Linked DNA regions of Astyanax mexicanus. The protein of the gene in region 3 interacts with the protein of the main gene of each other region in a biochemical or structural test. Links are inferred from orthologs where the notes say so. Each region holds a gene or a part of one and is shown on either strand. Other genes may lie near its edges.

Evidence for each region.
Region 1: the proteins of snta1 (region 3) and abcc4 form a complex in vitro, tested with the Homo sapiens proteins (2 studies listed by BioGRID and IntAct, with this or other methods). The link is inferred for Astyanax mexicanus from reciprocal best matches to the Homo sapiens genes SNTA1 and ABCC4.
Region 2: the proteins of snta1 (region 3) and gda interact in a test that uses a peptide from one of them, tested with the Homo sapiens proteins (2 studies listed by BioGRID and IntAct). The link is inferred for Astyanax mexicanus from reciprocal best matches to the Homo sapiens genes SNTA1 and GDA.
Region 4: the proteins of snta1 (region 3) and wwtr1 interact in a test that uses a peptide from one of them, tested with the Homo sapiens proteins (2 studies listed by IntAct, with this or other methods). The link is inferred for Astyanax mexicanus from reciprocal best matches to the Homo sapiens genes SNTA1 and WWTR1.

What each region holds. Positions count from the first base shown.
Region 1 is NC_064412.1:55,549,212-55,556,603, reverse strand, and holds the start of abcc4 (multidrug resistance-associated protein 4), read right to left. Parts: upstream 3,018-7,392; 5' UTR 2,827-3,017; coding exon 2,753-2,826; intron 1,211-2,752; coding exon 1,100-1,210; intron 1-1,099. UniProt on the Homo sapiens protein: ATP-dependent transporter of the ATP-binding cassette (ABC) family that actively extrudes physiological compounds and xenobiotics from cells.
Region 2 is NC_064429.1:8,214,638-8,221,715, forward strand, and holds the start of gda (guanine deaminase), read right to left. Parts: upstream 3,027-7,078; 5' UTR 2,980-3,026; coding exon 2,875-2,979; intron 1-2,874. UniProt on the Homo sapiens protein: Catalyzes the hydrolytic deamination of guanine, producing xanthine and ammonia.
Region 3 is NC_064412.1:8,278,696-8,286,210, reverse strand, and holds the start of snta1 (alpha-1-syntrophin), read right to left. Parts: upstream 3,019-7,515; 5' UTR 2,948-3,018; coding exon 2,665-2,947; intron 1-2,664. UniProt on the Homo sapiens protein: Adapter protein that binds to and probably organizes the subcellular localization of a variety of membrane proteins. May link various receptors to the actin cytoskeleton and the extracellular matrix via the dystrophin glycoprotein complex.
Region 4 is NC_064423.1:915,791-923,498, forward strand, and holds the start of wwtr1 (WW domain-containing transcription regulator protein 1), read right to left. Parts: upstream 3,023-7,708; 5' UTR 2,756-3,022; coding exon 2,343-2,755; intron 1-2,342. UniProt on the Homo sapiens protein: Transcriptional coactivator which acts as a downstream regulatory target in the Hippo signaling pathway that plays a pivotal role in organ size control and tumor suppression by restricting proliferation and promoting apoptosis.

The DNA.
Region 1 (7,392 bases), about 47 Mb from region 3:
CATATGATTGATGAGTGATGGGCGGATTATGATTAGAGGAGCAAGAACACATACTAGACAGTCCAGCATGTTTAAAAATGGCTAAAAAAGTTAACTGGCTGTTTTTTCGCTAACTGAGACTAACCGAATAAACTACAAATAAGTTGTAACTCAGATGTACAAAAAGATATAGCAATTTTCCACTACATTTCTGACATTTTCCTTGACAGACTGCATTAGACCCTGTGTATATACTCTGCTGCCCTTTAGCTTTTGGGTTTTCTGATGAGTAACATACATGTAATAGATGAAATAAGATAAAAGATGATAAGTCCTGAACCCAACAACAACCATGACAATCTGATACTGGCTTAACATGGTCCAGAAGCACAGCATAACACTGTGTTCATGGTTCATGTTCTATTGCCTCAACTGCCAATTGCCAAATACTCAGACTGACAAAGAAAATAATCCAATACTGTGAGAAGGAACAAATAAAAACCCTCCTAAGCCTGGGCTCAATTCCTTTAACCATATCAAACTTTATTGCATTTCTGGTTTGGGTAGCATTAGCTCCTGGTACTCTTCCACATGAAGCCCCAGCAGGTGCTTAAGTGAACTGATTGTATTATCCGACGCAACCATACTTCCACCCTTGGCACACAGGCTCTACAAACATTACAAGCGTCTGTTCCTTCATTACATGTCACACACACATGCTATAGATGTCAGTGCAACATGTACTGACAGTGTGAAAATGCTTCCTTTCCCTGCAGCTCCCATTCCACTAGCCTTATAAAAACAGCTCTGAGGTGCCGCATTAAGCAATAACCTTGGCATGCATTAAAAACCACAGTATTTAGTAACACTATTCACACTTCACCACCATAGACTTTGAACATTTAATAGGACTGACATTTCCAAACCAAAATTTGGTTAGCAACTAAATGGACTGACAGGAAGTATAACCTTTGTACCTCCCAATGTAGTTAGTAAACACAGCAAGACATAAACAAATCAAGACTTTATTTAAGAACACATGGATAAGCAGAGCAGCTCAGTATTCTAAGCATGGGTGATGTTTTTTGTGTCCTGTGTACAGCTTTATTTGTTTACATACCTCTGAAGTTCCCCTCCCAGTCTCTTCGACTCGTCCTCAGGAAGCACTTTAAACATGTCATCTTCCTCAAGTTTTCGTTTGTATCCAATGCGAAACAGGGGGTTCAGCCAGCTGAGTAAAAAAAAAAAAAGAGAAGGAAGACACAGCACAGGGCTTCCCGAAACTGAAAGTGAAAATTCTCAACAGCAGCAAAGCTAGCAAAAAAGCCAATGTTTCACAATGTAAAATGACCCACAGCTACTGTTTTTGTCTACGTTCTTATTAGATAAAATGATGAGATGAAACTCAAGTTCAAATGCTGCTAAAAACGGCAGCAAAGGGAAACAGCTGTGCTTTTGTGAGATGTTTACTTTCCTGTAAAAAGGTCAACAGCAGGCAGGTTAGCTAGTTAGCTAACTAATAAAAAAATACATCTGAAATAAAAAATGACCTTTCTTTTCATTCTATCTTTTTCTTTTATTCCATTCTCTGGTGTTTTAGGGCATTATAAAAACATAGTTATTTAACTATTTAGCTAGTTAGCTAACTAGTGATTCTAGGTGATTCTCTTTAGGAAAGGATCATCAAGAGTCAAGCTGACAACCAGCAACTGTAAAGCTGAACAACAGCCAGGTAAGGTAACTAATAACCTACCCAGAGAACCTATTTGACTAATTTAGCAAATACAAAAATAAATCAGCACTAATAGCTAGGTAACTATGTATTTACTATAAAAAATACATTAGCTACTAGACTTTAGTACTTTAGAAAACTTTAGAATTTTGTATTTAAAGGCAGTGGGAAAGTGCCAGGTAGCGTTTTTAGTTATTAATGACATTTTTATAACATTATTAACGTTGTTAAAGGCTAGCTAAGGTGAGTCCCTATAGGAAAAGCATAATCAAGAGTCAAGCTGACAACCAACAATAACCTACCTAGAGAACCTATTTAACCAATTAGCTAATTTAGCTAATACAAAACTAAATCTGAGCACTAAAAGTTAGGTAACTATGTATTTACTATAATAAATACATTAGCTACAGATCCAGTTTAGACTTTAAGACTTTGGAAAAGTTTAAACTTTTGTAGTTAAAGGTAACGTAGTGGAAAATTTCAGGTAGCGTTTTTAATTCTGAATTACATTTTTATGACATTATTAACATTGTTATACTTTAGCCCTACAGAAAAAGCACATGCATGCTGAGAACCAAAAACAACTTTATAGACAGATAACTTTAGTTAGGTTATGTAGTTAATGTCAGTCACTGGATTTTGTAGCCAAGAGGGGAGGGGGATCACGTGTGTGAGTAAATAAAAATAAATGAATAAAAATAGTAACTACAGCCTGCACTGTAAACGTTAACGTTACTTCTTTTCCTTCTGCTGCTGCTGCTGTATGAGTAAGCTAGCTTTTAGTTTAGCTAATCTGGCTAGCTCTTGCTCATTAGCCTCTGCTAGTAGTTAGCTAACCTATAGCTTATTAACTTTAATTAGCTAATTTCCTCAGTTGAACTTCCTGACATATGTTAGATAGGTTATGTCCAGGTAAAATAATTCCTCAGTATTTATTTTATAAAGGTTATTTCTTCCCCAGTAGCCTAAAACAGCCTCCATACACACTTAGCTAACCTATATAAACTCTCACAGCCCGCAGTAACCGGCTAGCTCACTCACCAGAACAGTATCTGAGACACAATATTAGCAGAGGCGGCCGGATTAGTCTTCACATCTTTGCCCACGGGCTCCATATCGATTATTATCCGCTCCGGAGCTTCACCCGCTCATCCGCGCGCTGCCTCGCTCACTTTCCTCCTCACTTCTGAACAGATTCCTCATAAACTGTTGTGTAACTTCCCCGCGTGCACATGGTAATCAGCAGGTGACGGAGGCGCTCGCGCTGCTGCTCTCGCGCTGCTGCTGTTGCATCGTAAAGACAGCCGGCAGCGCTGTAGATGAAGGACGCCGCCCAGCTGCCCGCGAGGGCGCAGCTCGCTATCGGCCCAGGGCGTGTTCCCTCGCAGCCCATTGGTCCATTGTCCCCGAGGTGCACATTTCCAGGAGCCTGGAGCTGTCACTGCTGCACAACAGAGTGTAAAGTGTGTACTGTTATCATTAAAAACAGCTTAAAATTGTGAAATACCATCAACCTTCACCTTTTTTTTATCACTTTTTTATCAGTCAGTTCTGTAGTAAACTGACTGATAACTGAGAAAAGAAGCACTTCAAGGACAGTCCATTCTGTAGGAAAAAGTACATTTGGGACAAAAGTAGACAAAAGTCATAGCAGCATTTAATAACTAAGCGTTTATCTAGAATTAAAAGAGAAAATTAATTAATTTAGTTATTTTTTTTATCTTTGATTCATTTTATATTGTATTGCTAAAGAGAGCACACTGAATCTCGATGTCCTTGTAAAATGACATTAAATGTTGTACATTGACATTAAACGTCATTGTACAAGGACATTGAGATTCAGTGTGCTCTCCTTAGCAATACAATATAAAATAAAACAAAGATTTAAAAAAATGTAATAAATAAATAAATAAATAAATATTGGTCTTTTTTTCCTTTATTGATCAATTTCAATGTTACATTAACAAACATTCTTTATTTTTTAACAACTTAATCAACTCCCCCAAGCTATCTAACCCCCCTCCCTAGCCCCCCCTAAGTGGTTCCTCAGGTGTTCATGATGGTTGCTATGGTGTTGCTATGTGACACCAATAAATTCTATCCAACAAATTCCTGATATTTGCTTATTTAGGAGTATTTTATTCTAATCCCAGTATGATGATTTCATCATTGCCATGGGAAATACATCACAATAATACTGTATTGTGAGATGCCCTGTGATTCCCATCCCTAGAAGGGGTGACAGGAACCAGCCTGACAGAAATATGAAACAGAAACGTGATTTAATATTGACCCAATGTAACTACAAATCTGATTAGACGTTGCCTTTGAAGTCCTTGAGCTCAGATTGTGCTCTCTCCAGTGTTTTAAATGTGGAAGATGTGGAAGCTATTTTACATATTTACTGTCATTAAGTATAGATTTGTTCCAGTCAAAGCAATAATATAAGTCAATGTTTTAAGATAAACATGTTAGCAATTATTTATAGTATTAGTGTTTAGTACACAAGTGGGCCACAGATATTGTTTGTGCCCATTTTTAAGTGGTTCCTCTATCCCACACATCATTTACCTCATTAATAATTAACAAATCTGTCACCTATTGGGTCAGGTGTGTTAGAGTATTGGTCTCCAAACCTGGTTTTAAAAGCAGGCCCACTGCCCATGACTACTGCCTGAGAGACAGAGATACCAACATGTACGGGGTTCCCAGGACTGCCTTAGGTGAATATATGAAACAACTGAGCTAAAGGATATTCCCTTTGAACAGTTCTCATTTTAGGTTTAGAGCCTTTTGATAAGATGTGTTTGTTAGAATTCTGCTTTTTGGCCACAAAACCAACAAAGAAGGGCATTGTAAGTAGAGCTCAGCATTGCAATGGCCTCAAAAAAAAGTTCAGTCTTCAAGCAACAGAAAAAAAAACCACACTGTGCTGCTGTGAGTGAAGAAATACCACATGTTGATCCCGCTCTCTCTCTCAGTACCAGCACAAAGAAATCAGAGAGCATTTCAGTCCATATTTTAGCTTTTTTACAACAATAAGTGTAACTTGCAGTAAGGGCTGACAGAAAAAGAATCGCATTAAAAATCACTCCTGCACTTTTTAATCCAGTTTTTCTGCTTAGATGAACAGGTTTAATTAAACTGCATGACCAAAAAAAAAGGTCACAAACTCTAATATTTGGTTGGCTCACCTTCAGCTTTGATTGCGGCACACATTCGCTGTGGCATTGTTTTAATAAGCTTGTGCAATGTCACATTATTTATTTTTAAATCCAGTGTTGCATTAATTTTTCACCAAGATCTTGCAGCAGCATTGATGATGGTAGAGTCTGACCAACCGCTGCACAAAGCAGCTCTTCTCCATCCAGCACATCCCAAAGATTCTCAATGAGGTTAAGATCTGGACTCTGTGGGGAACTCTTTCAATCCATGTGTGAAAATGAAGATCTCATGCTCCCTGAACCCTGAACTATTTCACAATTCCAGCCCCATGAATCCTGGCATTGTCATCTTGGAATATGGCTGTGCCATCAGGGAAGAAATATAAAATCCATTGATGGAATAACCTGGTCTATATTCAGTATATTCAGGTAGTCAGCTGACCTCATTCTATCAGCACATACTGTTGCTGAACCTAAACCTGCAGAGCAACTGCAGCATCAACCAACCCCACATAATTTACTTACTTACATCCAGGTGGAGACTTTTCTGACCAGGCAGTGTAGTTGGTGCACTTTATAGTGAATAGAGTACAGTTTTAGATATACTGTGACAAATACTGGATATTAGTAAGCTTTAGAGACCTGCATGGAAGTGGATGGAGCGGTACAAGCCATGCCAGTGTTTTGTTCTAGTCAATACTGCTTTCTCTCTCTTTCTCTGTTTTTCTACTTTTCTCTCTCGTATGTTCTTTATAGGTTATCCGTTGGCTAAGCCTCTGAAAGGGCAGTGCATGAAAGACGCACAATGAGAGACAGAACAGGTGGGCAGTACATTGATAAAGGGAATGGTGAAAGACACACACACACACACACACACACACACACTGTAGAAAAATATTCATGGGCTCAACGTAGCTCAGTCAAGTCAATATTACTCAGTTACGTTGTAAATACATACAATTTTATGTTTATTCAACTTCACTGAGTCAAATCTAAATGATAACAGATTAATCAGTTATGTTTATTTAACCTAACGGAGTTTTGTTCACAAAACAATAGTTTAATTAGCTCAGCAGTTTTGCAGGCTTAAAGAATTTAGTTTATTTAAGATATATATAGGTATTTTCAACATATTTAAGATATTTTTTATAGAACTGCCACTACTGAAAGTAAAACACATACTGTGACAACTAGGAGCACAGAATAGAGGTAACTTGCTCTTACAGCCTACAACACTGAGGCCTGGCAATCAACAAATATATTATACTAATGCACGACTAAGATAAGGTAGCCTTGGGCAACAGACAACACAAAGATGGTAAGTAAGGGAGAGGCCACACCCAATATGCAAATATATGGTGCCAGGAGCCTATGAAAAAAAAAGCTGTACGAACCAACACTGATGAAAATAGCATTGACACGTGTAGTATAACTAAAAGTTGGTTTAAATCATATTTTTTATTGATAATATTAGATAATATTAGATAATATTAGTTCTCCTGACTAGAACACAAAATCCCTTTTTAGAGTGCGCACACACACACACAAACAGTATGTGTTTAACACAACAGAAACATAGTGTTGTTTGTTTAGAATCTAATACTGACACCAAAATCCCCACTGTGAGGCGAGGCTGAGAGAGTGTGAGGTTGTGGTGAAGCTCCACAGTCTGAACAGCACAGGATCATTAAAAATGGTACTTTAAATTGTATCTGCAAATTCTGTGGCATTATGTTAGAAAGTCACTTTGTGATTTAAAACTCAAAAGAATTTGGGTTAGTCCATATAACAACTAAGCCAAGACCCAGAAATAAATCAGCAGACATCCGTGATTCAGTTCTGTTGAAATGCTGTGGTGTTACACTGCACTGAGCTGATCAACAACAGAAAGGGCTGCGGTTAAAGCAACTGAAAATAATTCCACAGTTCCACAAGTTCGTGAATATGAGAGTTTATATCTTGGCAGGATGATTGCAGTGCTCAGTATTTGGGTGGTAATACGTCTGAAATTATAATTATGACTCCAGGATTAGCCTCCCTCCATTACTTTCTATACCCTAAAGTAGGGGTGGCCAATAAAAGAAGATATATATTTTTTGAGATGATTATCCACACAGAAGACATGTTGACTTGATTTGTTTTGCCCAAGAATGCAAAATATTTTCTCTTCTTCATATGTTTTGGTCCTGTTCTAACTTTGAATTCTTTGCTGTAAGATATATAGGTTTTTGAGAATAATAAAAATAACTTTAAATAAATACATTTCTTTAACCCCTAGGCTAGCCATGTGTGGTAATGACCCTGCTTTACCAGAGAGTGAAGAAACTTCTTCTAAAGTTTATTAAAATGGGCTTAATTGCTGTAAACAAATGTATTGCAATATATAGACAACAACAAGAATAACAGGATAGAGGGTTAAACAATGAAGAGCTATGTCTAGTGTGTTATCTCCGTTTATATTATAAAGATTAAAGTGTCTTCTGCTAATGACCTTGTTATGAATGTTTAGCTGACTAT
Region 2 (7,078 bases), on a different chromosome or scaffold from region 3:
TTGCTAAGGCTACTGTTAACTATCTGGGAATGGTTGTGGGGCAGGGAAAAGTGTGCCCGTTGAAGTCGAAAGTGCAAGCTATTGACCAGTTTCCTCCTCCAGTCACAAAAAAAGAATTGATGCGTTTTCTTGGGATGGTTGGGTACTACCGTGCCTTCTGCAGAAATTTCTCAGTAGTGGCAGCACCCCTTACTAATTTGCTACGAAATCAAGTTAAGTTTGATTGGACTCCAAATTGTCAGCAAGCTTTTGAGGAATTAAAGCTACTTCTAACAGTCGCTCCAGTTTTAGCCGCACCTCGTTTGGATCAGTGTTTTAAATTGCAGGTTGATGCCAGCAATGTTGGTGCTGGGGCAGTTCTGATGCAGGCTTCTGAGTATGGGGTTGATCACCCTGTTGGTTTTTTCTCAAGAAAATTTTATTCTTACCAGTTGAATTATTCTGTAATAGAAAAGGAGGCTTTGGCCCTAATTTGGGCCCTGAAACACTTTGAGGTCTATGTGGGTACGGCTTGTACGGCTAGTGTATACTGATCATAACCCCTTGACTTTTTTGCATTCTTTACAGAATCCGAACCAGCGATTGATGAGATGGTGTCTGTTTTTACAGGGGTACCACCTAGACATACGGCATATCAAGGGCCAGGATAATGTAATTGCTGATGCCCTGTCCCGTGGTCCACTGGGTAAATAAATTCAGGCTGCTGTCTTGTTTTTCTCCAGTGTTTTAATTTTGCTCTTTTGCTTTCTCTCCCTCTTGGCTCTACCTTAAATTGCTTCCTAGGCGCCAGGGTTGCTGGTGGAGACTGGTGAATGAGGAGGTTGTGTGGAGTGGACTTGAAACATGGAGCTGGCAGGACTGGATCAAAGCTGTTGGAGTTCTGTTTTTCTTTTTCTTTTTTTTTTTTTTTTTTTTTAAGGGGGGGTGTGTGACGTGCCTGTCCCCTGATTGGGTGTTAGGGGGTGGGGCTACAGACCTAATCAATATATGCACCTGTGTAGGTGTGCTGCGGGAGGCCTTTCTTTTGTTCTGTTTGCTGCAGGCAGCTCAGTTTTCTGGGCCTGCTTGGTTTGGTTCTGTTTGACATTATGCTTTAGTTGTTTTTTGTTGATACATAGGTTTTCTTTGGGCCGCCTTTTTGTTTATAAATGTCTGGACATGAACCTTTTTCTAATTTCTTCATTAAATTTATATTTTTTGCCATTTAAACACTGTGTGTCTTCCATTCATTTGTCACGGCCTAGAGCCAGTCGTGACACCATAAATGCACTTTTAACTTTGACTAAAATCAACCTCTCTGCTAAAATTCATGCAACAAATAAACATAATGAACAGTGTAGAGTTCAGTCCAGTTTTATATTAGGGTTACACCCATATATTATTATACTATAAGTGTATATATATGTAATAATTACCGTAACAGGTATACACATACTTGAATATAATAAAGCCTAAACCCTCATTTCCAATACATATTGAATTCAGCACACAGCTGCTGGTCCTCAGAAACACGCAGTGGTAAAGTAGACTGTTTGGGCTGATATCTAAGGTCAAAGTCACTTTACTGTTGTTCCAGCAAGTTCAGCAGCAGAGCCGCTGTGACCACAGACTAAAGTCTCACTGTATGATCTGTACAGAAAGAGAGCTGTCTTGTATATCTAGGCCTCATGAGTATACAGTGCTGTGCAGTATTGACCCTGTCAAACTCTATATAACACTAGAATTAACCTAAATAAGCCCAGCCATAGAGCCAACCACAGTGGCCTGTAGGTTCAATCTGTAAACCCTAATAAGTTAAGTCTACTAAAATCATTTAAGGTAATTTGTTCCCTGTAATTAATTACGTATTTAAAACTTTATGTTCTTTAAATTCTTTAAAATCTCTATTAGTTAAGTTTATTGCAATGATTCTATTGCATACGTTGCTTTTATAGGCAATTTTTCTTTTATTAAAGCATTACTAGCTCGCAGTGCCCTAGGTGAAAGATGACGGTAGCTTATACCATGTAAACTGTGATAAGTACCGTCTTTACAAGTGTCAATTAATAATTAGTTTAGACATTACTTAACAATTTAATCATTTTAGAAGTTATTTGTGACACATATTTTTAAGTACCAATCCCATGATGCATTTGATCAGATGTATAACATTTTTTGAATGTATAAAATTTTAATATTCTGGCCTACTGAGTCTGAGCTGTATACACTGTGGTCTAAGAATAAGAACAGACATCTGCAGCTGACAGTCAGCTGACAGGAGATACAGAAAAACCGATGTTTAAAAAATTCAGTATTTTTTAACTATTTTAGTAAATACAGTTAATTTTCTTTTTAAAAATTATTTCTCTGTTATACAGTTGCTGCATCAGGTATTTTATAGCCCCTTTTTAGAAAAAGTAGTGGTTATATTTATTAATACCTACAGTATGTATGTTTGTATTCAACTATTGGTACATCATATATGGTTACATTTATCTTATTTTCCAAAATATACTGTATACAGGGGTGTGTACGTTTTATGTAGAGCTGAGCTGTTTGCATCAAGTAGTCTTAACTTATATTTACGTAAAGATGATGAAATAAGTGTCCTGACTTCCTAAATTCAACATTTGCACCTAAAACTTGCAACCACTTTTTCATTCCTTCATCCAATCGTTTTTAGAAATTATATGGTGATGAAATGTTAAATTCTAATTCAAAAAGCAGAAGGTTGAGGACATGATGTTGATTCAAAGTTAATATTTTAACACAATTTAACGTTAAATGTTGTTTTAACTTTGTTTACCATATTTCAACCATGATATTTAGTTATATAGTTATATATGTATATATGATTAATCACGTGCTGCAGGTCAGCGCTGCGTGTTTACGCACCTTCCCCCGGTGATCCACCCCCAGCACAGAGTCCTCGAGGATCTGCAGCGGAGTGTCCCGCGTGGAGTGCGCGAGCGTCCCCCGGTACACGCAGCTCACCGGCATGCTGTCTCGTGCTCCTTTCCGCGGTGTGCGCGCGCTCTCCCGGGCAGGTGCGTCTCCTCGCGCTCTTATACCCGCAGATACTGACGCTCCACCCGCGAGCGGAAGAGGAGGAGGAGCGCGCGCGAGGGAAGCGCGCGGGGGAGCGCGCGAGGGGAATCACAGGCGCGTACGGGGTTCTTTAAAGGTTCCTTAGACAAAGTAATTTTAAGTGAATTTTAAGTGTTATTGGCTTTTAATTTGTATTTTTTTGTTGTTGTTTTCTATGTTATATTGGTATATCTCCTTATATTGGCATATTTATCATTATTTAATCTCTGCACCATTATTTTCTGTTTTACTTCATGTTATTTTATCTTTCTGTGAGTTTTTGTTTTCTATCCTTCAAAATCTGCAATAAAAATAATTAAAACAAAAAGAAAGAAAATGTGATATTTCTAAAGAAAACCACATTCAAACACACAAGCTCTTCTTCTGGTTAAGTGATTGCTCAGAGCACTATAGAGAACCTTTAGGTTTTTCAAATGGTTTTAAAAGTTTAAAAGTGTTTCAGTGGATCTTCCACTGTTTAAAAATATTAAACTTAATTTTTCTATAAGACTAAAGACATTGATGGTTAATGGGTTCCTCTTAATGATCAAGTACCTATGCACAGTTTTATGCAGCATCAGCAGTGTTCAACTATTACAGTTTTCCTTAAATCATCTCATAGTCTCTCCTAATCTGAGTTTAATAGAGTTACATTTCTAGTTCTCATCATATTAATCAACACCTGGTTTGGTAAATTTGTAAATGTGGTAAATCAGGTGTGCTGCTGACGGAACTGGACATAATATACACATGCTGGCTGAGCAGGAGGATACAGGAGAAATCTGGAATCTCTATACTTTGTTCTTCAGCTCGGCTCACAGGATATAATATACTTATAGTTAAAAATGAGAATTTCTTGTTACGTTTTCCTGTATTTGTGTTTATTTGCATCTGTTTAAATCATATGTGGTGCTTTTTTATATGTGAAAACACTCATATTGCTGAGAAAATGGATTAGTGTAATTTGCTTTGGTGCCTAAAACTTTAGCATAGTAAATATATATACATTGAATTTTGTGATGCCACAACACAAGGAGGGTAAAGACCAACACATGCCTCCTCCGATACATGTGAAGACAAGACGCAGACTTGTGCTGATCAACATCACCCTAGGAGTGATGAGGAGAAAGAGCACCATCTACCGTACCCACCCAGAGAGAGCAAGGCCAACTGTGCTCTTTCAGGGCTCTGGTAGCCAATGGCAAGCTGCATGACTGGGATTCGAGGTTCCACCTTTTAAAAAGAAGGTTTGTTCGTTAAAATGCTTAAATAGTTCTTACCCATGATCAATTACCTGTAGAGTGTTTTTCAAAAATATTCATACCCCTTGAACTTTTTCATAATTTGTCACCTTACCACCACAAATTCAAATGTATTTAATTGTGATTTAAATTTTCTATTTTCTAGGCACACTTTACATATTTTAATTTATTTGAAATTTTGAAAACCATGCATAATACATTTAAGTTTGTGGTCGTAAGGTGACAAAATGTAAAAAACAAAATTAAAAGGATGAATACTTTTGCATGTCACTGTGTACGTGTAATGTTCCAAAGTTGGTCAATCCCTCAGTGTTCACAGATCCTCAGAGTTTCTCAATGTTTTATGAGTAAATCTCAATATAAGAACCGAAACTATTTATAAAAGGATCTTCATGTGAATCTCATGTATCAAACTCAAGACCCAGCTTCTCAAAGAGAACAGTTTGTTCTCATTTTGATCAAAGATAAAGTTGGTGTTGGATGGGAACTGGAAACACTGGTTTCACAAGAAGTACCACTGAAAAATATATACATTTCTATCATTAATGCACATAATGAAGTAATAATGTATTCTTGTTAAACCAGCATGATTTTTTAATATAAAAATGTAAGGTATAGTCAATAATAATTTATTGAATCAATATAACCTTTTTATACTTATTAAAAAACAAAACTAACTTGTACCACTTTAAAATAGGGCTTCTTTTATAGAGGATTTATAAATAGTTTAGAAAGGACTTTATTTATGATTATAAATTATGTTGTAAAAACTGTAAAAACATTCATAAACACTTAATAAATGACAGTGAAAATGACCTTTTTAACATATCTAATTAAATAATATAGAAGGTCAGTTTAGTCATTTAATGTTAATTGTTATTAAATGTTAATGATGAATGATGGAAAAAGCAAAGTAAGATAAGCATCTAGTAAAATCTGAGGTTTAAAAGTATAAACAAATGTGGAATCCCTATTTGGTACATGGTAGGCCACTGTTGCCCTTTCTGTTAATGTGTTATAACTGCTTATTAATGGTTTATGACCCAATTAATAACATTATTAAACTCATTTATAAACTAGTTACTCAGTCTCTTATTTCTTATTATTGAATTATTAACACTGATCTTAACTGAGGCTTAGTGAGATCCTGAGTTCTTCATGCCCTTTTGGAGTAATTTCGGTCGGCCGGTCACTCCTGGGAAGGTTCACCAGTGTTCCATGTTTTCTGTTCCATGTTGTGTTGCTTTTTGAGGTATTTTATCTACTTCATGTTGTCATGAGGTTTTATTGAAGTGATTTCTTGATTCTACAGGTCTGGCAGTAATCAGTCCTGGTTTTGGTTAGTAGTGAAATTTGAGCGTGATTAATTACAGTTTGGATAGCTTTTTTTTTCTTAATAAATTAAATCATAATTTTAAAAGTACTTTTTTATATTTACTCAGGTTATATTTGTCTGATAAAGTTTGTTTGATAATCTAAAACATGTAAGTATGACAAAAATGAAAAAAAAAAAACAAAAGAAATCTGTAAGGGGGCAAATACTTTTTTACGCCACTGTAGATGGTGCCAGGAGTTAATAGGAAAGGTAGGAGAATCCCACCCAAACAAAATTTGATAAGCATGCACCAGCAATTAGTGAACAATGTAAGCAGTTGTGGGCGTGGCTAAACTTTTGTGTGTAATTCATGGGTGTAACACCAACATATTTTCAACATAAGTCTTTCAGTGAATGGTTTCGTCAATACCCAACCCCCATTCCCTCACATACACTTTTTTTATTTTTCACTCATTGGTTGTTTGGATCAGCAATTTTAGTTAAATATATCATATAGCAGATGAACACAGTGATAATTGAGAAGTGAAATGAAGTTTATAGGATTTACAGAAAGTGTGCAAAAATTAGACAAATGAATACATTTGGGCACCCAGAAAAATGACAAAATGCAAAAATAACAGCCTCCAAACGTTGTTCTTGTTCCTCTGTATGAATGCTTTAGTGCTTTAGTAGATTTTGAGCAGTGTTTAGGGTGTTTAGGGTCATTGTCTTGTTGAATTATCCATTAGCCCCGGTGCTTTAACTTCAACTTTCTCACTGATTCTTCAACATTGTTTTCAAGAATCTGCTGATATTGACTGAAATCCATGCAACCCTCAACTTTAACAAGATTCCCAGTACCTACACTGACCACACAGCCCAACAGCATGATGGAACCGGCACAAATTTTACTGTGGGGAGCAGTAAAGTGTTTGTGTTGGAATGCTGTGTTTATTTTCCTCCATGCATAAATAACCGCCCTCCAACTAACTCAACTTTAGTTTCATCAGTCCACACACAGAACCTTATTCCAAAATGAAGCTGCTTGTCTAAATGTGCTTTAGCTTTAGCATACCTGAAGTGACTCTGTTTGTGGCGTGTGCTCAAAAAAGGCTTCTTCTGCATTTCTCTCCTAACAGCCTCTCCTTGTGCAAAGTGCGCTGAATAGTGAATAGTGAACGATGCACAGTGACTCCAGCTGCACTTTATACCACTAAATGTTATGTTACAGCTGTTTAAAGACATGGTAACTTTAATTTTACATTTACTTTTATTCTGTTTTTCCTCATGATGTGATGTTACACATAATGAAATTGTGGAGCAGTCTCTACTCAGAGCAGCTAAATATGGTGATTTTATCAGTAAACCAATCACGCAAATGTTTTCAGATCAAATCCTACTTTTATTTAGGTTATTGTGGTTTATTTAGTTTGTT
Region 3 (7,515 bases):
ACAATGTAAAGTAGTTGGAGTACAGCTCCTATAACAGTGTAAATGAATGTATAAACTAGTTGCAACCAAAGTGAGTACATCCTTACATACAAACTCCCTTCCCAGTGTCATGTGACTCACTAGTGTTACAAGTTGTCAGGTGTGAATGGGGAGCAGGTGTGTTAAATTTGGTGTTCTCGCTCTCACACTCTCTCATACTGGTCACTGGAAGTTCAACATGGCACCTCATGGCAAAGAACTCTCTCTTTCTCAACTATGAGGAACTGAAAAAGAATTGGAGCTCTAAAATAAAGATGGCCTAGGTTATAATAAGAATGCGAAAAAGTTGAAATCAGGCTGCAGCATGGTTGCTAGGGCCATCCAGCGGTTTAACAGGACAGGTCGGCCAAAGACACACAAAAATATATACACAAATGTTTTCATAAAATTCTGTATTCTTACCAAACATCTACTGCTATTGACTCAGCGTTTGTCCTTGCTACTCGTTTTTAGGTAGTATCAACATGCATTCCAGGTGTCAGTGTAAATCTGTGAGCTATGGTCTAGAATCTGTGAGCTAAGCCCTACTGATCCACAAACATCTACTAGCAGAGTAACACTGGTAAAGCTCTACGGATGACCTTTCCATGTGAGAGCAATCCTTTTGCAAAGGGCAGTCAACTGCAAACATGAACTGCACACAGTTTTAACGTATTGTATTTGTCCTGTGGTTCATTTTGATGCATGGTTAAGTGTATATTGCTTTATTAATAACACATTAGACTAAGACCTATTAGATAAGGTTGTTCTAGTTAGTTGGAAGAAGACCTTACTAAGTTCTACTAAGTTTTTGTTCTCAGTTAAAGGAGGTAACAAGTCGTTAATTTTTAAACAAAGTCGTTTAGAATGGTTTGGTGTGAAATGCCAGTTGAGAAGCAACTTAAATGTTCATAGCTCTGGTGACAGAAACCAGACTTAATAATAGACTCTAATAAAAAAATTTCCCTTTCACAATGTTTTGCATTTAATGGTTGTGAATACAGTGCAACATGCCTGAGACACTGTTTAGCAACAGGTTTTAGATCAAATTTATGTTTGTCCTAAAACATATTTCAATTTTAACTTTTAGTCTGTGGAGAATTCATGGCAGGTATAATGAGGCCTAATAAAAAGCTTATAGTCTTCAGTTTGTAGTTTTTAGTTTTTTTACCCCCAATAGTTTCCAACTGGAATTCATTGATTTGTAGATTTTATAAAGCAGCTGGTGGTTTTGTTCGGTCAATAAAATTGGCTTTTTTTTTATTGGATTGATTATAATATCGCAACCCCTGGTCCCTGTCATTACCACCAAGTTTTATCTTAAAAGTTAGAAATTTCACTCTAGTCTACTTGATTTTGAATGATTTTGTCTAAGCTACAACTGTACATACCTTTTTAGAAAGAAGTAGAGTTAAAGGAGAACTATTGACTTTAAGTGTAGTAAAACATGATAAAAAGTACTTACATTTGATGAACAACACACCTCCGTTCTTCCGCAGCGTTCAGAGATCCAGAAATTGTAACCGTTTGTCCAAACTCCCTTCAGACAGGGTGACATTTGGCATAATTTTCCCCCTATAAATCGCTTTTTCCACCCCTCCTTGCTAGAATCCGGAAAACCCTGACATTTAAAATGAGGCATTAATAACTTAAAAAGTGCACAAGAAGCTTATTAAAAACCACCGTTTATATCCTATAACGCTTGCTTCAGCTTCGAATGCCGCCATCACATAGACATATATATATATACATAGATTCCGCACAGCCTGTCTGCCACGCTGCTACAATATGCGAAATCTAAGTATATATATGTCTATGTTATTTTCAGTTCAGTGATGGCGTGCTTGGAGCTGAAGCTAGCATTAAAGGATGTAAACAGTGTTTTTTAATAAGCTTCTTGTGAACTTTTTAAAGTTATTAATGCCTCGTTTTAAATGACAGGGCTCTCTGAATTCTAGCAAGGAGGCGTGGAACTACTTTGAGCTGGATAACGGTGGAAAAATCGATTTCTTATCGGGGAAATTTTTGCCCTGTGTCACCCAGTCTGAAGGGTGTTTGGACAAACTGTTAAAATGTCTGGATCTCATTCATCAAAGGTAAGTACTTTTTATCATGTTTTACTACACCAAAAGTCCATTTTACACCGGAGTTCTCCTTTAAGTATGGAAAACACGGTAAGTTGTTTTAAAAAAAAATCTAACATTTCTAAAAAATGTACAAGAAGTGTCTCTAGATTTCTTTCAAAAAGTGTGTGACTGTTAAGAATACATACTAAAAGCTGTCATTATAAACAACCATAAATCCTGGATTGGACTGATTTACCGACTTCATTTGCTGCTATAGCTTTTCTATGGGGAGCTACACATACTGGACAAAGTTATATCTATTAATATCTGTTTCAGTTGAAGCCTAAATCTGTTTTAAAATGTAAATATAGTCCTTCTGACCTTCCTTTCACACTTATTGCCCTTTAACAAGCTGCTACTTCTTTACTTTCGCAAACAAAAAACAGTGTTTCAATGTTTAAAATAGTTTCTTCATAGTTGCGCCACATTTTGGTTTGCTCAACTTCTTCACCGCATCGTTTAGTGATATTCTGAGACATTGGTAATAGTCTAGCTGAGTTTTTCTTTTGAGAGATCTTACCTTTAATGCTGATTCCGAGTCCCCCGACGTCCTGCTTGGTGACCCTCACTGTGCGCTTGACGCTGCTGATGTGTTCTGGGACAGAGGGGCAGCACAGGCTGCTCGGTTCCCCGTTCAGAGGCGCCGGGGCTGGGGCTTTGCTCTTAGCCGGCTCCTCGTTGGCCTCGGCGGGGCTCACGGTGAGCGCGTCCCCGGTCAGAGCCGCCAGGACGCGGCTCCAGCGCTCCACCGCCACGCGCAGCTCCAGCAGCCCGCTTTTGGGAGCCTTCAGCGCGGCCGCCATGTTCACCACGCATTCCTGGAATACCACAGCACGGGCTGGCAGTCCCGTAAAGAGATAGGGGTGGAGAGAGATGCCCAGAGATAGACTCCAACCCCCTCTCTCTCTCTCTCTCTCTCTCTCTCTCTCTCTCTCTCTCTCTCTCTCTCTCTCTCTCTCTCTATCTCTCCCTCTCTCTCTCTCTCTGGTTGATCTCCTAATTGAGATTTAACCAAGCCTGTTCTGTTAACCCCTTAGGCTAAACAATACATGCACTGTAAAAAAATCCAACTTAAAAAAGTTTTAATCAATATTTTAACCTCGTTGATTAAGCAAAAACACATTAAAAGGTAGGGCTGTGTTCCAATTGCATGCTAAACACTACTATAAGGTGCAGTATATAATATATACTAATCTTAATAGTGCGGTTTTGACTGGTTAGCACCCCAAATGTTAATGTATTACTTTAGTATTAGTATTAATTCTGCACTAGAGAGAAATCCCCAGAGATAGGTTAACCCCTTGGGCTGAACAATACATACACTGTAAGTAAGTAAGTTTTAATACATTTGTTTTACCATGTTCATTAAGCAAAAAATAAATAAAAACTAAAGGCTGTGTTCCAAATGCAAACTAAACAATACACACATTGTAAAAATCAAACTTGAAAAGTTTTAATCAACATTTTTACCACGTTGATTGAGCGAAAAGCCATAAAAAGTAAGGGCTGTGTTCCAATTGCATACTAAACACTACTATACACCACTATAAGGTACAGTATTTATCCTTTTTTGTTTTCTCTTGTTGATCTTCTAATTGACATTGACCAAGCCTGTTTTGTTAACCCTTTGGGATACACAACTTAAGAAAGTTTTAATCAATATTTTTACCATGTTGATTGAGCAAAAAGCCATAAAAAAGTCTGAGCAAAAATACAATAAATTACAAATTGAAAAACACTGTAGTGAAAAGTTGATAATGAAATAATGAGTAGCCCAGCTTCATTTGCCCATTTCATTTGCATTCTGAAATACATTGCTTTAACCGACTCACAAGTAATGCTTTTAAGAGAAAGTTGCTTTCTTCAAATATTAATAATTTAGTATTATATATTAGACCTGCATTGCACCTATTCTCTTGATTACATGGAGTAGCTGGAGTTGTAGTGCAATGTATAAACCACACTTTTACCCTTGACGCATTACTTATCTTTCGCATAAATGCGTCTGCAGTGGAAAAATCCTGTTTTTACACTGGAAGCGTAATGATAATGGTGGTCTGAGAGGTGCTTGGCCTAGGAAAAGGGGGCAGGTCAACCAAATAAGCAGGGGTTGATTGCAATTTGTCAACGTGGTGGAAAGTGTTTTGTTTCTATAGAACAAAAGGAAATGGAACTACAGTGTTCATGTATACTAAAGTAATTGATAGGTACCAATCATGCTTGGAGTGCATTTCCTTCATGGACAGTTCTATGCATGCATTTCTGGACAAGCTGAGAGATATGGTGGCATCTGAAATTATGTGAAGCATGTGGACTTAGGGGGTAGAGTAATATAACAGAAAATTATTACAGAATTTTACACAAATATGATTGCATGACGCAGTTCTGGAAGAACACTTTAGACTGAAGCAGTAGTGCTCCAGTCTAATGGGGCAATTCTGTTACAATCAGTGGGCCCATGAGCCCACCATAAAAGAACAAACAGTAGAGAAACACAGGATGGTAAATATGCTTGTAAAAACGTGTGTCACTCATTTACTAATTACACTGTTTGCACTGTTACCTTTGTTTAAGTTTACTTACCCAACATTAATGGTCCACTGTAATATGTTAAGGTGGTACAGAATGTGTCTATTCAATTAATTAATATTCAATTACTATTTTATGTTGCCTGGTTTAAACAACCCCTCTATGAACCGTACTAAAATTATTTAATTAAATAAGTAGGCTGTGTAAAACATTGTAACACTACAAATTGTAACACTATATTTAAACTCACCCTGTCCCGTGGAGACAGTACTGTAGCTTTGTTAGCTCTCACTGCTGTGAGAATAAAGAATCATTTCCAACTAATGCAGTATAAAAGGTATAAAAGGAGATTAAAACAATATCTGTGTAAATAATGAGCCCTCAGTACATGGGCCTTGATTACAACTCAGTAATCAAAAAAAGCTATTTTAAGGTACAAACAGTCCTCAGAGAGAATCTTAAAAAATAGCTGTCCAAATATGGTCAAACTCCACAGACAATGTTTGTATGGGAACAGGAGAAAACGAGCAAAAGCAGGTTCTACTTAAAATGTGTCTACAGAGGGAGTTTAAAAAGCAGGTAAACTTTAAACTGTTCAGAAGAGGATTTTAGTAGAAGGTATGTTGTGATTGGTTTTCTTTATTTTGAAGCTGTATCATATATATATATATATACCCTTGGATATATATCCATTTTCCCTTTCTGTTTAATGAGTCATAAAACACTGTCCCAATTGCATACTAAACACTACTATAAATTACAGTATATATTATGTACTTAATTTAATAGTGCATTTTTAGCAGGTTAGTACCACAAATATTAATGTGTATTAACAACCTGTCGTATTTGTTTATATATTCCCCTCCCTTTTTGCATTTATATACACTATATTGCAATAAAAAAAAAAAAAATTGCTCACCTGCACCTGTAGGCTTGGATGGAGCTGTTCGGACATGGAAACTCTCCATTACATGAGTCTCGCTACTGTTCTCTACTGTTGTTGATCTAATCTGAAGCTACATGAAGTTTGGAGGTGTGTAGTGATGTAGTGACTCTTCTGTAAATATTCTTTTCAATAACCATATGTACTTTTAAGTTTTAGGTTTTTGTGACTCAGAAAGGGTTAATGTTTTTAGAATGTTCTATCAAGTTTTCTTGATTTTTAATTAAAAAAAATTAAGCATTCTGGTAACATTGCTGCAATGTCACTGGTATCAATGTATTAATTTATAGTTTGTTTTTTTTTTTACATTTCTGTAATGTTAGTATTTGTCTATTTGAGAACACTATGGGATAAATGTTCTAATAATGATGCAAACTATTATTATGTCACATGTTTTCATAATGTTCCTGGAACCTTATTTCTGGAACTTTATAGTCTAACCTTCTTGGAACCTTACTAAATGTTCTTATGTTCACTGTTAGCTGGGTACTGTGTTTGGGAAGGCCTACACCTGTATAAGTTGTGAGGTACTATCTTGTAAAAGGGTGAGGCTGAACATTGGTCAAAGTGCTCAAGGCCAGACCTAGGGCAGCTCCAATCCAGATACTTTTAATCAGCAGAAAGCATGTTGTCTCTAGTAAAGTATAATCCAGAATTATACTAATTTAATCTATTTTAACTTTTTTCAGACTTTAAGTCACGTAAAATCTCTCTGACGTGTGGAGGCCGGTCGTTCGTAAAGAAAGACGCAGAGACAAGATAAGAACTCACTGTGTCCATCATCTGTAATCTGCTGGAGTCGTCAGACCGGAGCCCTCCATGGCCATCTAAGAAGGAAAACATGACGATATCTACTTTAAAGCCCATAGTCAGGAGACAGGAGAGGATCTGATTTATAACAAATAACAAATATAAAGAATTAGAAGTCATGCACTGTAAAATTGTCTACCTGTAATTTATTTTACTATATATTTTACAATTTACCATTATTATATTTACTTTTTATGTGTACAGTATTTTACACTGAAACAATGTTAAAGTTGTCTTTTTTCTGGCTTTTATTTCTAAAATTTCTGAAAGGCTCATGATCAGCTTTTCATTAGGACTGTAAATTATTCAGATTGTTTTATTCTGCGGTTAAACTTGATTCTCTTTTGGGATTGTAACAGTTGTATATTAGAAATGAGTGTTTTTAATGTTTTAATGTTGTTGCTGTGGTTAATAACCCAACAAATGTGTAATAATATAGTATAATAATGTAATTGAAATTGCTTTGTCTTTTTGGTCCTCCCCCACCACACATAGTTTACTTTTCCTTTTCAAAACCAGAAATCTGGCACCATGATCTTGGTAATAGATAGATTTTAATGTTTTATTATTATTATTTTGGTTTATTTGTTTGTTTCCTGGTCAGAGAGTTGTACAAAGTAGTTACACATAGTCTACAATATTTACTGTAGTTACAAAGTTTTCATTTACATTTATTAATCATTCTGATTGACCTTTTGGTCAAAATGTTCTTCTTATGATTCTGGCCACTTGTGGTGAAATCTCCTACACCCTCAGATGATCAGATCATTTGATTCGACCCCTTCAGGATAATGGCTTATGTAAGAATGTGATTTTCTTACTAGCTGATTTATTGAACCTAATCAAAATAAAATGTGACAATTTTGATAGCTTTGCAAGATTTGTACTTTTTTATTATAATATAAAGTTTACTCCTTAATAATAAAAAACATATTGCAATATATGAATATATGAATTATTGATTTTTTTTGTCTGCATTTTGTTCTATAATAATTATACATCTAATCCGATGCTAATTTTTAAATTGCCATAACAATTGTCTTAAGTTTTTTTGTGTTTTAAGAAGAGGAAGTTGGCGAATTATAAATA
Region 4 (7,708 bases), on a different chromosome or scaffold from region 3:
TATGGGGTGGTCTGAACAAATACTGCCTGAAAGGTCCAAATTATTATGTGGAATTAATAGTTCATTAAAACCGATTTAATTTATTATTTGTTGTACTTTTTTACATCACATACTTAAAAGTAACTATGTAACTTTTACTCAAAGTACCTTTTTAAATTGAGTACCTTTTTACTTTTACTTGAGTAGAAGTTTAGCAAAGTAAATGTACTTTTACTTAATTACAATTCTTCAGTACTTTTTCACCTCTGATAATGCACAGTATTGATCTTTTGTCCTAATACTGTATACTTTTAAAGCCGCTTTGTTACAGTGTTAGTTGTAAACACAAATAAATGCTATATAAATCTATTTGATCTGATTCTATCTGACATGCCTACCTGACCAGAAATCAGCAAGAAACTACAACAACACCAAAGGACAAAAGAACGTTAAGGTAGTTTCATTCAACTTAGAAACTCACCAAACTGAACCCACCAGCTGCCTTACTGCAGTGATAGAGGCTTTGAGTGAAACTTCTACCAGATTTAATAGTTTACTGTTTCATGAAAAAACAGTCTCCAGTCTCATGAGAACTGGAAATCGGAAATCACGTCATCGGAAATAATCGGAATTTGAGGTCCTTAGGTTGTTGCGTGGGCACACCACAGATCTTCAATCAAACTTATAGCTGACATGAGTGTATATTATTTATTACTACTGTTTCAATCCTAAACATCACCCATCATTCTCCCCTGGAGAAAGAAGGGGAGATTTGGGGCAACTGTGTTAACAACACTAGTGAAACCTAAATGTGGAACAGCTGACTATGTGTGGCAAATTACAATGCAAAGTAAATCACAGTACAGCACTTCTGAGCTTTTCAGTTGCCAGCAATGGTTAGATGACAAAATCAACAATGTTGATTATAAGAATTTCACATTTCAAATCTCAACTAATTTGTAACAAATGCACTATACAAAATACTGGGGACAGGAACACAAAAACACGGGGAGGTTAAGTGCTGCTCACTCACTTGGTTCACACTTAGTTTAGTCACCAAAAGTGACTTAACACAACAGATTACATACATAGTGAGTAAACATCAAAACTTTTCATCTTTAAACATCATCTGAACATTTAAAGAGCATCTAAATCCCACATTCAGCGGTTTCTATTGTTTTGAAGTGATAGAGAAAGCAAGGAACAGGAGCCGTACCCACAGGAAGCAGAGATGAATGGGGCAGCAGAAATAATCGTTTACTATTTGAGTAATCTGAAAAATAATTGACTGATTATTCAACCACTAAAATAATCATTAGTTGTAACCCTATTAACCACAAAAGTGAGGCAGACCTAAATGGAACAGGTCTTCTACATGTGGCAGCAGCAAGGATGGTCAAATTACATTTTAGTTATGAAGTAAATCACTGTAAATCACTGTACAGTTCTCCTGAGGTTTTGTTTTTAGGCCCCACAGGTTGCCAAATCTCTCCCCCCCTAAGCTGCTAGAACTCATTAAGCTGTTGCTAAGGCTCAAGTTTCCAATCACACAACAGTAGCCAGATAGCAAAAGTATGCTGAATCAACGTTCATATTTCAATTTTATTTCAGATAGACTTGCTTCTATCTTAAATGTGGCAGTGATTTTTTTACGAATCTAAAGGAAACAATAGCTTTCTTTTGTGTCACCTTACATGGTGCTGCCTGTTTACAAACAAAAAAACTAAATTATCTAAGAACTTTTTTTTTTACAATATCACCCAGCCCTAATTCAACGTTATGATTCTAAATCTGTTGTTCGTGTTAAACTTTACTTAAATCTACACTGCAGAGCAGAAAGGGACATTTTGCCTAAATGCATTTAACACTGGGCTAATTGTGAGTGTAGAAGAGCTCAGCCCAAACCCTACAAAACTTTAGCTGTTAAAATGAACGTTCCCTCAACGTCAGAATTCCAACACTACCCAACCTGTTGTTGAAGCCTATGGTGCAAACGTAAACAAAAGGTTGTTTTAATGTTGTTTTTCCATCATCAGCACTAGAAGTTGAGATGCGAACGTTTTTACTAAACGTTCTTTGTGTTTAAGTCTGAAATTACTTGAGATAAAATACTTTTCTATTATTTTTACTGCTGAAGTGTAGAAAGGTGCATTTAAGTAGCAACAATTATATTATTAATAGTAGCTTAGTGTGAGTGTAGAAAAACTAGCTAACCTATTGATGATGTTGAATAAACCTATTGATGAAAGTTAAATAAAGTTTGTTTAAATGTAGTTATCCATGATCAACTCATCAAGCTGTAATGCAAACAAAGATTTAACGTCTATTTAACGTTCTTTGCCTATCAGTTAAGCTGTACTTACTTGAGAAAGTATTTCTGGCCGTTGGAAGTGAAGGCCATCTCCCAGCCGGGGGGCAGGGGCAGCTCCTCGGTCACATCGAAGGACTGGTGGCGGATGTGGACGTGGTGCGCAGAGGGCGGGACCGCTCCGGTCCCCGTGCCCGGGCCGAGCTGCAGGCTGGCCGGGGAGGAGTGCGAGCGGACGTGCTGCACCGGCAGCCGCGCCGGCCCGCTGCCCGAGTCCGTGCTGGACTGTCGGGAGTGGGAGCCCGAGTCCGGCTCCCTGAAGAAGGACTCGGGCATGTGTTTCTTCCTCCAGGAGCTCGGCCTCGGGTTCATGACCGCGTTAAACAGCGCCTCCAGGTCCGTGTCCGGGTCCTTCGCCACATGGATGACCTGCTGGCCCGGCAGGGGCTGCACCGGGTTGTTGCTCATTTCGCTCGGCGGAACAGAAAAGTTGGGACGGGGGGAACCAAGAAGTGCTGGAGCTCTCTCCTCAAAAACACGACCCGCGCTCTCCCCAGCGGCTAAGCGCTGCTGTGATTTTCTGTCTTTAGTGTAAAAAAGTTTTAACTCAAAACAAAAACACAATAAAACAGTTTTAAATGAGAGTTTGAAGGTTATCCGGCCCGGTCCTCCTGCCCCGCTGTCCCGCTGCTGCTGCTGCTGCTGGAGAATCCGCTCGGTGGAAAGTTTGGAAACTCGAACTTTTTCCTCCCCCCGCGCGCGCGCGCCTGTCAGCTCGCGCTCATGAATATTAATCAGGCCACGCCCGGAATATTAACCACGCGCTTTAAGTCGCTCCAAATCTATTTAGTAACAGAAGGATTAATGAAGTCTAGACTGAAGAGTGTTAGTGTAAGTATATTGTATAAACTTTCTAAGCGTGTAATAAAAAAGTCTGAATAGCCCCAAGCCAACTGCCAAACCTACACCAGTGTCTAGTGAAGAAAATCTGAACAATTTAGACTAAATATTTATTATCTACAGCTAATATAAATGTACTCAAAACAAAAATACAACCATTACAACCAGTACGACACAAAAAACACTGAAAAGATATGTTTTAAGTATTATAAAGATTAACATTGGTAAATAAAAAGGTATAGTAAAAAGAAGATGAATGCATTTGAAACATAAACGAAAAAGTATATTATATTGTTATATAAGTATATTATATATATATTGACAACAGAACAATGTATGACATGACTTGCAGTCAGTGCAGAGGATCCCTTTTACTTGCCGAAGTTTCACCTAGTTTTTTACATAAAAGTAATAATCAGTTTTTAGCACTAGTAGAACTAGAGGGCAACGAGGGTTTTAAAAACATATCGGAAAACATGCCTTATTTGCTGCCCTCTATTGCGTCCTCACGTGTCCTAAAGGATTCGGTGATGTACCAGCCTGAACAGAAGAGCAGAAATCCGCTTCTCTCTGTCTGAAGATGTTATTCTGCCACCTTGTGCTCAGAAATGATGTTCTCAGATCTTCTGTTCCTCCTTAATTTCAGTCAGGTGGTAGATTATGTGACTGTGTATAAAAGTGTAGAATATTGATCTACTGTTTCAGAAAATAAGCACATATAAGACCAATTTTCTTATAATAAAATTCAAATTTTCGCAAAGACCTTTATTTTATACCCCACTGGATGTAAAATTAACAATGGTAATTAATTAATTCGTTAATAAAACTATACAAAATTAATAAAATGAGTAGTAATCAATTGTATTTTTAATTAAACAGTACGAAACTTATTTTTTCTGTCCTAAATAAAAATAATAGTATTGTTTATAATGAAATGTTTAATTAAAACTATTTATTTATATAAAATGTTATTCATTAATTATTATTAAATATTATTATTCAAAATAAATCAAACATTGAATACTAAATAATAACACTAATTCAACAAAGGAGCAAAAAAAAATAAGTTGTTGTTAGGACATTTTAGTGACATTTATAGTAGATCTGTATAGACAAACAGTGCATTAGTAGGTTGTGGGGTTTAATAACAGATAGATGGTACTGTGCTGGTTAGATTAGTAGGTTCTGGGGTTTGATAACAGATGGATTGTTCTGTGCTGGTTAGATTAGTAGGTTCTGGGGTTTAATAACAGATGGATGGAGCTGTGCTGGTTAGATTAGTAGGTTGTGGGGTTTAATAACAGATGGATGGTGCTGTGCTGGTTAGATTAGTAGGTTGTGGGGTTTGATAACAGATGGATGGAGCTGTGCTGGTTAGATTAGTAGATTCTGGGGTTTGATAACAGATGGATGGTGCTGTGCTGGTTAGATTAGTAGATTCTGGGGTTTAATAACAGATGGATGGAGCTGTGCTGGTTAGATTAATAGGTTGTGGGGTTTAATAACAGATGGATGGTGCTGTGCTGGTTAGATTAGTAGGTTGTGGGGTTTAATAACAGATGGATGGTGCTCTGCTGGTTAGATTAGTAGGTTGTGGGGTTTAATAACAGATGGATGGAGCTGTGCTGGTTATATTAGTAGGTTCTGGGGTTTAATAACAGATGGATTGTTCTGTGCTGGTTAGATTAGTAGGTTCTGGGGTTTGATAACAGATGGATGGTGCTGTGCTGGTTAGATTAGTAGGTTCTGGGGTTTGATAACAGATGGATGGAGCTGTGCTGGTTAGATTAGTAGGTTCTGGGGTTTGATAACAAATGGATGGAGATGTGCTGGTTAGATTAGTAGGTTCTGGGGTTTGATAACAAATGGATGGAGCTATGCTGATTAGATTAGTAGGTTCTGGGGTTTGATAACAAATGGATGGAGATGTGCTGGTTAGATTAGTAGTTTCTGGGGTTTGATAAAAGATGGATGGAGCTATGCTGGTTAGATTAGTAGGTTCTGGGGTTTGATAACAGATGGATGGTGCTGTGCTGGTTAGATGAGTAGGTTCTGAGGTTTAATAACAGATGGATGGAGCTGTGCTGGTTAGATTAGTAGGTTGTGGGGTTTAATAACAGATGGATGGAGCTGTGCTGGTTAGATTAGTAGATTCTGGGGTTTAATAACAGATGGATGGAGCTGTGCTGGTTAGATTAGTAGGTTGTGGGGTTTAATAACAGATGGATGGTGCTGTGCTGGTTAGATTAGTAGATTCTGGGGTTTAATAACAGATGGATGGTGCTGTGCTGGTTAGATTAGTAGATTCTGGGGTTTAATAACAGATGGATGGAGCTGTGCTGGTTAGATTAGTAGGTTGTGGGGTTTGATAACAGATGGATGGAGCTGTGCTGGTTAGATTAGTAGATTCTGGGGTTTGATAACAGATGGATGGTGCTGTGCTGGTTAGATTAGTAGATTCTGGGGTTTAATAACAGATAGATGGTACTGTGCTGGTTAGATTAGTAGGTGCTGGGGGTTGATAACAGATGGATGGAGCTGTGCTGGTTAGATTAGTAGGTTCTGGGGGTTGATAACAGATGGATGGAGCTGTGCTGGTTAGATTAGTAGGTTCTGGGGGTTGATAACAGATGGATGGAGCTGTGCTGGTTAGATTAGTAGGTTCTGGGGGTTGATAACAGATGGATGGAGCTGTGCTGGTTAGATTAGTAGGTTCTGGGGGTTGATAACAGATGGATGGAGCTGTGCTGGTTAGATTAGTAGGTTCTGGGGTTTGATAACAGATGGATGGAGCTGTGCTGGTTAGATTAGTAGGTTCTGGGGTTTGATAACAGATGGATGGAGCTGTGCTGGTTAGATTAGTAGGTTGTGGGGTTTGATAACAGATGGATGGTGCTGTACTGGTTAGATTAGTAGGTTGTGGGGTTTAATAACAGATGGATGGTGCTGTGCTGGTTAGATTAATAGGTTCTGGGGTTTGATAACAGATGGATTGTTCTGTGCTGGTTAGATTAGTAGGTTCTGGGGTTTAATAACAGATGGATGGAGCTGTGCTGGTTAGATTAGTAGGTTGTGGGGTTTAATAACAGATGGATGGTGCTGTGCTGGTTAGATTAGTAGGTTGTGGGGTTTGATAACAGATGGATGGAGCTGTGCTGGTTAGATTAGTAGATTCTGGGGTTTGATAACAGATGGATGGTGCTGTGCTGGTTAGATTAGTAGATTCTGGGGTTTAATAACAGATGGATGGAGCTGTGCTGGTTAGATTAATAGGTTGTGGGGTTTAATAACAGATGGATGGTGCTGTGCTGGTTAGATTAGTAGGTTGTGGGGTTTAATAACAGATGGATGGTGCTGTGCTGGTTAGATTAGTAGGTTGTGGGGTTTAATAACAGATGGATGGAGCTGTGCTGGTTATATTAGTAGGTTCTGGGGTTTAATAACAGATGGATTGTTCTGTGCTGGTTAGATTAGTAGGTTCTGGGGTTTGATAACAGATGGATGGTGCTGTGCTGGTTAGATTAGTAGGTTCTGGGGTTTGATAACAGATGGATGGAGCTGTGCTGGTTAGATTAGTAGGTTCTGGGGTTTGATAACAAATGGATGGAGATGTGCTGGTTAGATTAGTAGGTTCTGGGGTTTGATAACAAATGGATGGAGCTATGCTGATTAGATTAGTAGGTTCTGGGGTTTGATAACAAATGGATGGAGATGTGCTGGTTAGATTAGTAGTTTCTGGGGTTTGATAAAAGATGGATGGAGCTATGCTGGTTAGATTAGTAGGTTCTGGGGTTTGATAACAGATGGATGGTGCTGTGCTGGTTAGATGAGTAGGTTCTGAGGTTTAATAACAGATGGATGGAGCTGTGCTGGTTAGATTAGTAGGTTGTGGGGTTTAATAACAGATGGATGGAGCTGTGCTGGTTAGATTAGTAGATTCTGGGGTTTAATAACAGATGGATGGAGCTGTGCTGGTTAGATTAGTAGGTTGTGGGGTTTAATAACAGATGGATGGTGCTGTGCTGGTTAGATTAGTAGATTCTGGGGTTTAATAACAGATGGATGGTGCTGTGCTGGTTAGATTAGTAGATTCTGGGGTTTAATAACAGATGGATGGAGCTGTGCTGGTTAGATTAGTAGGTTGTGGGGTTTGATAACAGATGGATGGAGCTGTGCTGGTTAGATTAGTAGATTCTGGGGTTTGATAACAGATGGATGGTGCTGTGCTGGTTAGATTAGTAGATTCTGGGGTTTAATAACAGATAGATGGTACTGTGCTGGTTAGATTAGTAGGTGCTGGGGGTTGATAACAGATGGATGGAGCTGTGCTGGTTAGATTAGTAGGTTCTGGGGGTTGATAACAGATGGATGGAGCTGTGCTGGTTAGATTAGTAGGTTCTGGGGGTTGATAACAGATGGATGGAGCTGTGCTGGTTAGATTAGTAGGTTCTGGGGGTTGATAACAGATGGATGGAGCTGTGCTGGTTAGATTAGTAGGTTCTGGGGGTTGATAACAGATGG